3 linked regions of the Tribolium castaneum genome follow. The protein of the gene in region 3 purifies or fractionates together with the protein of the main gene of each other region. This does not show direct contact. Links are inferred from orthologs where the notes say so. Each region holds a gene or a part of one and is shown on either strand. Other genes may lie near its edges.

Evidence for each region. Proteins that work in one complex are often made in the same cells at the same time.
Region 1: the proteins of Prp3 (region 3) and 7SK snRNA methylphosphate capping enzyme bin3 purify together in Homo sapiens (affinity purification with mass spectrometry; 4 studies listed by BioGRID and IntAct, counting the BioPlex papers as one, with this or other methods). This does not show direct contact. The link is inferred for Tribolium castaneum from reciprocal best matches to the Homo sapiens genes PRPF3 and MEPCE.
Region 2: the proteins of Prp3 (region 3) and Rnp4F purify together in Homo sapiens (affinity purification with mass spectrometry; 5 studies listed by BioGRID and IntAct, counting the BioPlex papers as one, with this or other methods). This does not show direct contact. The link is inferred for Tribolium castaneum from reciprocal best matches to the Homo sapiens genes PRPF3 and SART3.

The regions. Positions count from the first base shown.
Region 1 is NC_087395.1:19,351,048-19,354,802, forward strand, and holds the start of 7SK snRNA methylphosphate capping enzyme bin3, read right to left. Parts: upstream 2,866-3,755; 5' UTR 2,711-2,865; intron 1-2,710. UniProt on the Homo sapiens protein: S-adenosyl-L-methionine-dependent methyltransferase that adds a methylphosphate cap at the 5'-end of 7SK snRNA (7SK RNA), leading to stabilize it.
Region 2 is NC_087396.1:21,413,724-21,417,478, reverse strand, and holds the start of Rnp4F (squamous cell carcinoma antigen recognized by T-cells 3), read right to left. Parts: upstream 2,471-3,755; 5' UTR 2,266-2,470; coding exon 2,182-2,265; intron 2,130-2,181; coding exon 1,862-2,129; intron 1,807-1,861; coding exon 1-1,806. Other genes in the region: amon (neuroendocrine convertase 2), read right to left, coding at 3,160-3,321, 3,490-3,755. UniProt on the Homo sapiens protein: U6 snRNP-binding protein that functions as a recycling factor of the splicing machinery. Promotes the initial reassembly of U4 and U6 snRNPs following their ejection from the spliceosome during its maturation.
Region 3 is NC_087397.1:1,257,893-1,261,647, reverse strand, and holds the start of Prp3 (U4/U6 small nuclear ribonucleoprotein Prp3), read right to left. Parts: upstream 2,865-3,755; coding exon 1,983-2,864; intron 1,929-1,982; coding exon 1,685-1,928; intron 1-1,684. Other genes in the region: migration and invasion enhancer 1, read left to right, coding at 3,126-3,154, 3,212-3,473. UniProt on the Homo sapiens protein: Plays a role in pre-mRNA splicing as component of the U4/U6-U5 tri-snRNP complex that is involved in spliceosome assembly, and as component of the precatalytic spliceosome (spliceosome B complex).

The DNA.
Region 1 (3,755 bases), on a different chromosome or scaffold from region 3:
ATTTAAATTTAACTAAATTAATTAACTTATAAGGAAATGTAAAGGTAAAGGTGTTTCAAGGCAAAGATTCTTCTTAGTTTTTTTTAAATGTTGTCTAGTAGGTATTTCGTCTTTTGCAATTATTTAAAACCTTCTTCCTAATAAGACAATATTATTACTTAAGTTCTAGCTGTAAAGACAAATTAGTTAGAAAAAAATGGCCATTTTACATTTTTTTGTAATTTTGCAGTAAGCGAAGGGTTACACCGTTGTTTTTACCAACACCATGTATAAATATTTTACCCAAAAAAAATCTATCGTAATATTTCATTTATTTCAACCACTTGCAAGCAATTTAATTATTATCTCTTAAAATCAACTGAAAACTTAATTTAATTTATTTTTTTCAGAATTTTTCTACAATTCCTTAAGCAATTATAGGCCGGTTTATAGAAAACTTCATTAATTTCTAATTCGTTGTTAAAACTTAACAACGCGAATAAACTAATCACAGGCGAATAGACTAATCACATTGGTTCAATTTGGTCACGTGATCTGTTAATCAGTGAAATTAATGACGCTTCTATAAACCGGTCCTAAAATTTATGAATTATTAATTATTATTAACTGTTATTTTTTGTGTCATCTGAAAACAAGCAATACTTAAATGTTGTCCTGTGATAAAAATCCATAAAAAATGTCGCTAGCCCCAAAAATAATAAATAAAGTTATAAATTCAAAATTTAAATAAACGTAATTTTAGGGCTACCAAAATTTATTTTATAAGAATTTTTGCTCGAAAACATTTAGACATCGTTGTTTTAGAATAACACTAAGGGTCGGTTTATAGAAAGCTTTATTAAAATATAATTCTTTGGGCGCATTTACCAGGTTTATAGAAAGCTCAATTAAAGTTAACTGCCTTGTTAAAAGTTAACAACGCGAATGGACCAACCAAATTGCTTTAATTTGGTCATGTGATCAGTTAATCACGCATTTAATTGTGGATTAAAATAATGACGATTCCATAAACCAACCCCATTTTTTTAATTTCATTATATTAATACAAATTTAATAAATTAACTTAACGGTAATTCAAAATTACCGGACAATCTCTCGGGTGCGGATAAAGGACATCAAAGAGAATTAAAAATTCCTATGACAAAAATTGTTTTAGCCTTTTTCCACGAGCTATAACTACTCAAAGTAGAATTTTTCAGTTAAGTTTTTGGTGATTCAGATTACATGTTTTTTGACGTTTTGCGTAAACGACAAAAAAATCAAAAATTAATGTCATATGATGTACAAAACAATTAAAAAACTCGCAAATTCGCTAATAAATAAAATTCGACATCATAGGAAACAAAAGAGCAAAAATCGATACACCTGCTAAAGAAAACAAATTAAAAAATATATAAAAAAATGACTTCTTAGAAAAAATATTTAACTTCATTTTTGTCCTTAATTGAATGTCTTTTATCACCATACGAGAGTTTGTCCGACACTTTTGAATCACCTTGTAAAGAAGAGTAAAAAAATTTGGAAAAATTTCACATACATAGCAAAAAACTTAATAGGCCGGTTTATAGAAAGCTCCCTTAAATTTTAATTCGTTGTTAAAAGTTAACAACGTGAATAGACCAATCATTTGTTCACGTGATCAGTTGATCACGCATTTAATTGCGAATTAGATTATTGACGCTTCTATAAACCGTCACTATGTATTTAACAGTGAATACTGAATGCGGTGCGACCATTAGTTTCTGAGAATAGTGAAACATACTTTTAGCAGACTCACCCCGTATATACTCAACTATTTCTTGGTTTCGGCACGGTTTGAAGCTTGGCTATATTTTCAATATGCAAAATGTCAGTTGTAACAAGATCTAACGTGTTGGCAACGAAGTAATCATATATTATATGCCTGGATTTTTTATCAATGAAATATGTAAAAATAAATAACCCACACGCAATATCAACGATAAAAGATTCTTATTACAAAAAAAGTAACAACAAAACTGCCATTATTCATGCAAACATGCATTTTTGTCAAACAGCCAAATTACAAATTAATTACAAATATCTGGGTGTAATGTAAGTATATTGACAGAAGATAGCGATTAAATTCGACTTAGGTGACTTGATGATAGACATTTTATAAATACTCTGTATTCTTGTACAAGCCGTTGCGTGTATTCTGATTTTTCGGTCGCACTTCGGTTACAGTTGTCTAAGATCAAGGATTTGACTATTTCTAATTTAATCCGTCAACACATTAAATATTTATGACCAATCTAAATGCACCAATAACTGCAATAAATTATTCTTATCGTAATCGGTATAATACACAACACCTCAAATAAATCAGATAATTAATTACCATCGATTAAATTAATTAAACTAAAAATGTGACGTTAAATTCCGGCCGGAGCGTATAATAAACGTCCGGATTCCCGCAATTTGATAACAAACCCGCGAAAGCAGTGTTCAATTAGGAACCTTCCCACTGAGCAAACTCCCGACTAAATAACCCTCTCCGAAGTTCACCTCAGCGGTGGCCCTTCTAAATTTACGAAAATTTCGAAAAAGCCCGGCACCCCAAGTTCCCGCAAAAAATCGGCACTGCGCACGCGCACACCGGAACAAACATGTATGCCACTGCGGAGATCGACGTTGGCTATCGTTTTGGGCGAAAACTCCTCACAGATTACATAAATGTCAAAAAATTTACCTTCAACGTGTCCGGCGTGGCTTCAGCTTTCGTTTGATGCCCTTTGAGGGCCACTTTTCCCTTAGGTTCCGCTGAAAAACGGCCGAAAAAGAGACTTCACTTTGCAACGCACCGTCTGAACGACTACAAATCGTTGTGCTTGTAAACTAGACTCCATTTTAATATCAGTGCCGGAGTTTGCCGAAGCGGAGCCGATGAGGGACGATGGGCGATTTAGCGAGGAGTTGAAAAGTGTTATGTTCCTAATTATGTAATTTTCGGGTAATTGGGGAGGTAACCGAAAGGTATTGCGGATGATTGCGTTTTTTCGACGTTCTAAATTCGCGACCTAATTAACCGGAATTGATTATTTGAAAATGTGTCGATACGGTCCTGGAGTTTTATTGGCGCAAATGATCATAAATTCGAACCACTTATAATTATTGGGAAATAATTAGTTTTTCCTGCTGAAGGAGTGGCTGAATTCACAATTGGAAACATTCTTGAAAAGTTTTGTTTATAGTCTGTTGTAACACCTGCTTCGAATGCACTTCGTAAATATTTTTGGACAATATATTTGTATTTTATTTTTGGATGACGTGCCAAAATTGCTTGTCTTCCGTTGTACAAAGTGTGTTATTTATTAGTCATATTTATAGGATCTCGATGTGATGTTTACCTTATTACTCCAATGCGAAAATAGATATTTAAGTTTGAATGCAGCTTTATAGTTTATGAAACCATCTTCTGTATCTTTTCGATCGGACTTTTTATGCTTTATCTAGTAGTAATTTTTATTTGCAAAATTATGACATGTTAAAGGTGAAAATGGCAAATAGTCTTAAAAAATTTGGTTTGTATCTTTAGGTATACTAGAAACATAAATAATTGTCGACCTTGAAATAAATTTTTATCAGGTTATTAGTTTTTAGACGTTTTACGAGCGGTAACTGGACAACTGGCGAAATATCTATAACCACAAAGTCAGTTTTTCTTTTCATAATTTTATCTCTTTCAAGAAATATACAGGCTGCTCCAAAACTGGTGCACCAGCTCACTGGTAAAA
Region 2 (3,755 bases), on a different chromosome or scaffold from region 3:
GCCGTGTTGGTGTACTTTTTGCAACTGTTGTTGGTTTCTTGACAGGGGGCGCGCTAATTGCCACACTGATGGTAAAGTCCCCGACTGTCATCCCATCGGTCTTTTCCATGGCTTTCTTAGCACTTGCATCGTCCTCAAACTCAACATACGCGAGTCCTTTTGGCTTACCATCTCGCCGACACACCAAACGCACGGTTTTCGCCCCAAAAGGCCGAAAAATCGCCTCAATTTCCTCCTGCGACTTGTCATAGGGGAGTCCCTTAACGAAAAGTTTATTGGTCTCGGGTTCATTCGAGTACTTAAAGCCGGCTTTCCGCTCCTCACGATTCGGCTTACAATTGGAAATAAAAATAGGGCGGCCGTCAAGCAGCTCCCGGTCACGTGCCAGCGCCGCCATGACACTCTCCTCAAGGGCGAACTGCACGTACCCATAACACCGGGACTTCCCCCGCTTATCGACCACAATTTCGACATTTTCGCAATTGGGGAAGAATTTCCTCAGTCGTTTTTCATTCACACTAGTGTGTAGATTACTGACGAAAATTGTGCGAGTCGGGTCTTTGACCACCGCCTGCTTTTTGTGTTTCTTAGGCGGGGGTTCGGCTTCGCTCGGGTGTTTTCGTTTGGTTCCGGTGGCTTTCGGCGGCTCAATCGTTTTTAGTTTCGGTTCGATTTCTTTGCGTTTTTCGAGGCATTTTAGAACGTCGGGTAGTTTACCGAACTCGCGTTCGAACTCACGCCATTCGTCGGCGATAAACAGGGGCCAGTCGGTGCAATTGGTTAGGGCTTTCTGGAAAATGGCGCGGACTTGCGGGGGTTCCCCGAACTGGCGTTCAAGCCGCGCGTACTCCAGCCAAGTGTTGGCCAGGATTTTGTGGTTCGGGCTTTTGAGTAGGTTTTTCCAGAGGTTTCGCGCCCCTTGCATGTTGTTATTTTTGGCCAAAATTCTCGAATACCACTTTGTGATTTTGAGGGCGCCTTCGTCGTTATATTTTAGTTGTTCTAAGGCTTGGTCAAAAGATTTGAAAACTTTGGCTTGGTCTTGGCACGTCCGTGAGACGTATTCTAAGTAGGCGAGCCACAGCTCGCTTGATTGGGCGCCTAAATTTGACACAGCCTGCTCGAAACAAGCGACAACTTCGCTATTATCCTTCTGGAGACTTTCAAGGACTTGTAGGCGCATAATCCACAATTCTTGACTCCAGGGGCAATTTCTCAAAGCCTTAGTTGTGATTTTTTCAGCTGGGGCTCCCAGTTTCAGGCCGTAGAGACAATAATCGAGCCAAATCTCCGGGTTGAGACACATCTGGGCCGTTGCGCGTTCATAAAGACACAAAATTGTCGAGGGGTCCGTTAGGACTTTGACGTAGTCGCGATAAACTCGTAATAGTTGCGATTCGTCCGTTGTTACTTGTAGTTTTTCTTCGAACGGCTTGTAGGTCTCTAAGGTTTTCAAAGCCTTGTTATAGCCCCACTCCACCGGTTCAGCATTGATTTTGTGGTCTTGCACCTGCGTTAGCCACTCTTTCCACTCCTTGTAAGTGTTTTCCATGTCAAGGAGCGGCACTGAGAGTTGGCGCCGGAAAACCTCCACGATTTTTTCCACTTGGGTTTTCCATGGCTCGCTCCCTGCCTCCGTCAGGGACAAATGGGCGAATTCCAGCTCCCGGAGAGTGTCCCACAGGAGGCTCCCATCGGCCACGTGTAACCCAGCGGCGGTTAAACCCCTCTCGATTATCACACGTGTCGTGTCAAGGGTGCTAACCCCAATCGAGTACTGCGCGTACTCCACCCACAAATTCACAGCTGAAAAAACGTGTCAGGCTTGCCAATCTAATTTCAGGCTACCTGACCAACTTACACAAATAATCCTCCACGGCTTTATCAAAAAGCCCGAAAATATTCTTAATCTCGCTCTCGGAGCTCGCTAACTTTTTCTCGTCGTTGATCCACGCGAGCCAGATCTCGGGGGTTAGGGGGAAGTACTCTTGGAAGCGTTCGTACGCCAGACGCATCGACTTCAAGTCCCCCAGTTTTCGGTACAAGTTGACGAGCTCTTCGTGGGCATTGTAGAGGTACTTGTTGTCGGAGATTTGGCGTTCGAGGTCTTCAGCACGAGTGAGGAGGGCCTGAGACACTCTTAGAGTTAGAAAAATTTTGGAGGATTGTGGAGGCCCTTACTTGCTCCTCTTGGTCGTCCCCGGAGTCGGAGTCCGAGTCCGAGTTGACCGACATTTGCTCGTTGGAATCGTCGTTTATTTCCATCGTAAAAAGTACGTTTTGACAAATAGGAAAGTTGGGTTATGTTGATGTTGGCAAACAGTGACAGAAGATTTACCAGTCTAATTTTGAGCAGCAAAGTTACTAAATTAATTTGAAACGATACCAATGGAATACACTTCTAATTAACAACAATTTAACAGTTTTGTTTGTTCAGAAAAACCGAAACTGGTTTCAATGTTGAAATTTATTAGCAAAAATACTGTAAAACTGTTTTTCTGGATGTGTATTGCTGGTTGCGCTTTACGACCATAAAATCTCTAATTTAAACGTGGTGTGAGTTGATTAAATTGAATAAAAGTTTTTTAGTAAAAATGTAGTTTTATTTATTGGTCTTTGCTCCGAATAAATTTGAGACCATCTATGCCATGCTTCTGGTTGGGTGTGCACATGCGCCTCAAAAAAGATACGAGCTGTTTGAATTGAAGATTTGAATTTGTAAAACTATGAAGCAATCTTAAATAAATAAAACAAGCAATAAAAATTGGTTAAATGTCTAGTTTTATTTACAGTTGTCGGCCAGCAGAAGCAAACAAAATCACAATCGGAAATAAAGTTTATATTGTAAACAATTTACAATTTTGTACAATTGCATGAGATTCATCGCTTGCACTGTAATAAATAATCTCTTTCAGTTAATATATATTTGAATAATGAACGCTATACAAAATATAAGCTCTTGTCCAACAATTTGTAAAAATAAAATCCAATAATTACTTGATATTTTATACTTCTTATATAATCACATGCTTTTATTACAGTACAGTTAGAGATTGATGGATTTATTTAAATATTTCAGTATATCGCTACTCTCTACTTAAAAATATATGAATCTTTATCAAATCTTTAACAAATAAATAAACCAAAACTGGAGACCAATTACATCTTCATTCGATTTTCATGCGCCTTCTTCACTATAGCAAGCTTGGAATGTGGGTCCAAAACCGCCAATTCCGTATAAGGGGGCTCCTTTGTGCCGTGCAGCATCAAAGTCCACTCCTTGACAAAGCCCGTTTGCGGCATCTGCGAATTGAAGCTGGCCTGAAACAAAAATAATAATAATAAATTTGACTGAAGATATTCAATAAAGTATCGAAACGTCGTAACGAATTTAATTTAATTTATCCTGTGTCCTACAACCCCAATTTCCACGTAATCAAGTTCAAACATTTCAAAAATAAATGTAAAAAATTAATAAAAACCACCCACCTCCAACACCCACGTCCCTTGCGGGTACTCCCCCCACGTATGCGTGGTCATGAAAGGCCACTTCGTAAACCCATCTCTCGTATCATCGTCGTTTTGCCTTCGACTGAGAATCATAGACCTGGTGCCCATCGGCGACGTGAGGAAGAGCTCCAGGTCGCCCCTCCGACTCGCATTCACCGTTAGCACCGCCTGCACGTGCTCCAGATACCTCACCTCGGTGCTCTGCCCCTGGCACGCCGTCGTCGTAATCTGCATGACCAGCTTCT
Region 3 (3,755 bases):
TAACCCCATCTTCGCTAAACTCGACCAAAAATTGCTAAAATAATAAGCTCAAAAAATGGACAAAAACGAGGTTCGAATGTTTTAGCAAGTTTGTGAGCTAGAAAAGCAATGATGTCGACAAATTTATTCAAAAATGAGCTCAAAAATCATCAAATGTAAGGTTTTTGGCAAAAATTCACTACCTGGGACCCAAAAATCACTTAAATAAGGTCAGGAAATTAAGGAAAAACACATTTATTGAGAGTGATTATTCCGTTGAATTTCTGCAAAAATAAGCTGGAAAATCGTTAACTTAGGATGTTGTTTTGTTTTCGAGGGCTTAAACGTGTTTTTAAGATAAGAAATTAAGTTTTCTTTAGCGAAAATTCGCTAACTGTGACTCAAAAATAATTTAAATAAGGTCAAATATGACATTATTTTCTTCTTTTTTGAGCGTTTTAGCGCAAGATTTTGAGCCAGAAACAATTATTTCGAAGAATATCTTTACAAACAAGCCTAGAAATCGCTAAATTATGTCGAAAAAAGTATTTCATTTGCTTTTTTCGACAGTTCAAAGACGTTCTTGAACTAAAAACTTTTTTTTTGGAGAAAATTTACTAACAAAAGTCACTAAATATGGTTGAAAATGGCATTATTTCTTCAACTTTCGGGCGTTTTGACACGTTTTTCAATTAGAAATAATTATTTCAAAGAATTTCACTAAAATAATCCGAAAAGTTGTCAATTTAGTGAGGAAAAAAAATCACTAAATAAACCAAAAATTACATCACTCTCGATCATTTCGATTGTTTTAACACATTTTTTAGACAGATATCCAATTATTTTGGTAAATTTCGGTCAGAAATAAAATGAAAATCGTCAAATTATGCTGATGTATGGTCAAGAAGACTTAAATTTTCGCGAAATTTCGCTAAACATTGCCAAATAAAGACTAAGTTAGGGCAAGTATTACATTATTTTTGCTTCATCCGAAGGTATAACAAGTTTTCGATGAATTTCTTCAAAAATAAGACGAAAAATCACCAAACTAGATAAAAAAACAGCGTTATATTTCACTTTTTTCAAAGACTTAAACAGATTGTTGGAATAAAATAGTTTTTTTCTGCAAATGAAGCCAAAAATGACATTTGTTTTAGCAAGTTTTTCAGTCAGGAACACAATTATTTAGGGGGATTTCAATTAAATCAGACAAAAGATTCAATAATTAGCTCATTAATAGTTTTTTTTTGCTTTTTTCGAGGCCTTTGCGTGTTTTAAACGAAGTTGTTCCGACGAAAATTCAGTAAACAGGATCCAAAAACACTGAATAAGTTCAAAAGTGAAATTTTCTTTTACTCTTTCAAGCGCTGTAGTCCGTTTTTTATCCAGAAACATACTTATTTCAAGGGATTTTATTAAACTGAGCCGAAAAATCGCCAAAGTAGGTCAATAAAAGCGACAGAATAATCAATAAAATAAGTAAAAAATTCTAATGTTTTGCAATCAGTTTATTTGTTTCACAGAATTCCACCCACAATAAGCCGAAATTTCGCAAAACTGAACCAAAATTATCATTATCATTACGTTTATTACACCAGAAAAATTCTTATATAAGAAACCGAGAATAAATCACATTTTTTTATATAACTCAACGTATTTCCCGACGGGAGACTGAAAATAAAAAAATAAAAATAGTTGTTCTTACTTGGACACCTCAGCTGGGTTGGATGCTCAACCAACGTGGTAATTACAGATTCCTTTATTGCGATTTTCCCATTGAGCATCAAATCTAAATTATCGATCAAAATAACGGAATCCCACCACTCCATCTGCGGTATGTCCTCAATCACCCCCTCAGACTTTGCAATAAGCGCAAGCTTAGTAGCCGACGAAATGCCGGTCTTTTTCGCAATTTGTGAAATTTCATTTTGCAGTTTTTCCAACTGGGCCTGAAAAAAAATTCATTATGACCCAACACACTTCCACAAAAAACCCAGACATACTTTCATACGAAGCCGCTCGGCCTGTTGTAAAAATTTGCCGGGTTCGTGGAACCTAAGCTGTCTTTTGTTCCGAATCGGCGGCTTTATCCCAATTCTCCCATCGTAAAATTTCATTTCGTTACTGTCGTCCGTTTTATCGCTCAACTGCGTCCTGAACTGTTCGCGCTTTTGGGCCCTGATGTTGGCCTTAAGTGTTGGGACAACGTGGGTCAGTTGCACCGCTTTTCCCGTCTTGTCGATGGTCCTCCCTTCGTCGTCCAGGATCAGGGGGGTGGGCCTGTTGGGCACCACTGGTATTTGTATGGCGTTGGTCAAAATCCCGCTGGAGAGCTTGCTCTTGATCTGGGCTTGCAGTTGCGCGATTTTGCGGGCCTTGTCGGCGTCGCCCCTGTTGAGGAGCCCCATGGGGATGCCGTAAATGCTGGGCTGGGGTATGTTCATGTTGATGTTGTTCTTGCCCAAGGCGAGCCCATCAATTAGGGCCCGCTTCCGCTCCTCGATTTGTTTCTGGGCGCTTTCCATGATCTCGCTCGATTTGGATTTGTTGCGGTCGGAGTCATGTCTACTGTCTCTATCGTCGTAGCGCGATTTCGAGCGCTTTGAGTCTCGTTCTCGGGAATCGTCACGCGATCGTTTTTTCGACCGATGCGAGGCATGATAGTCTTCGACTAAATCAAATATCTTTTCGGCTAGTCTTGTCGCCTTTTTGCTATCAACATAAGACGAAAGTTTGTCAGTAGTTTTGCGCCTATCGTACCCTGAATTTAAACAATGGACTGCGGTACTGACCAGGGAGCTATCACTGCTGCCGAGCAGTTTGTAAACGGCTTTGTCTATAGAGGGTTTCAAGTCCTCCACTTCTCGCCGGGAGAGGTACGACATTTTTGGCTTTTTTAACAATTATCAAGATACGATTTCCAACGTTTACACACACGATTTTAGGTTAGAAGTCAAAAATTGGACAACACCAACGGAACAAACTGGAAATACCCTATATCCCAATGACAATCCCCATGTCAAAATGACAATTAGGGGTTATGGGCATGTGACAAGTGTAAATAAATAAAAAAATCAGGAAGGGCCATAAAGCCATAGCCATAGAATAAGGGAGAGGCCATAATCCCTCGATTGGATTAACTTACAATGGGGGTTGAAGTCGATGTTGAGTTTTGGTAAAAAAAATGGAGATGGTTTAGTTTTATTTATATCATTTCAGAGATTATTTGTAGTGGGACTTGTGGATATTTTAAAAAGTTCGAAGAGTTAGCGCAGCATATTAAAGCCAAACACCCCGATATTGAACTGAATGGGCATGAAGGCAGGAGAGCCACATTTGAAGTTAAAGTCAATGGGACTTTGGTTCATTCTAAATTAACTACCCTTGCTTATCCTGACTATGACGACCTTTCTGCGATCATTGATGAAGTGGCTCAAGGAAAAGAACCACGAAGTTGTAAACAACAGCCCATCACCAGTTGCATAATAGCTTGATAAAAATTAATGTATTATTTATTTTTGTGAGTTTGTTGTGAAAATAAAAATATATGTGTAAAAAGGTTTCTTGTTACTTGCAATCAAAAGTCAGATAAACTGATCGCGTGACTAAATTTGACCAATCAGATGCTTAAATTCACCGCGGATTAACTTTTAACAAGGGATTAAGTTTTAATTTCTTTTTTGGCGGGCGTTAAAATTTGGAATGGCCTGTGTACAATATAATTTTATGCGTTATATTTTGGTTCCTTGATCCAAACATGAGAATAGATTTGTTTG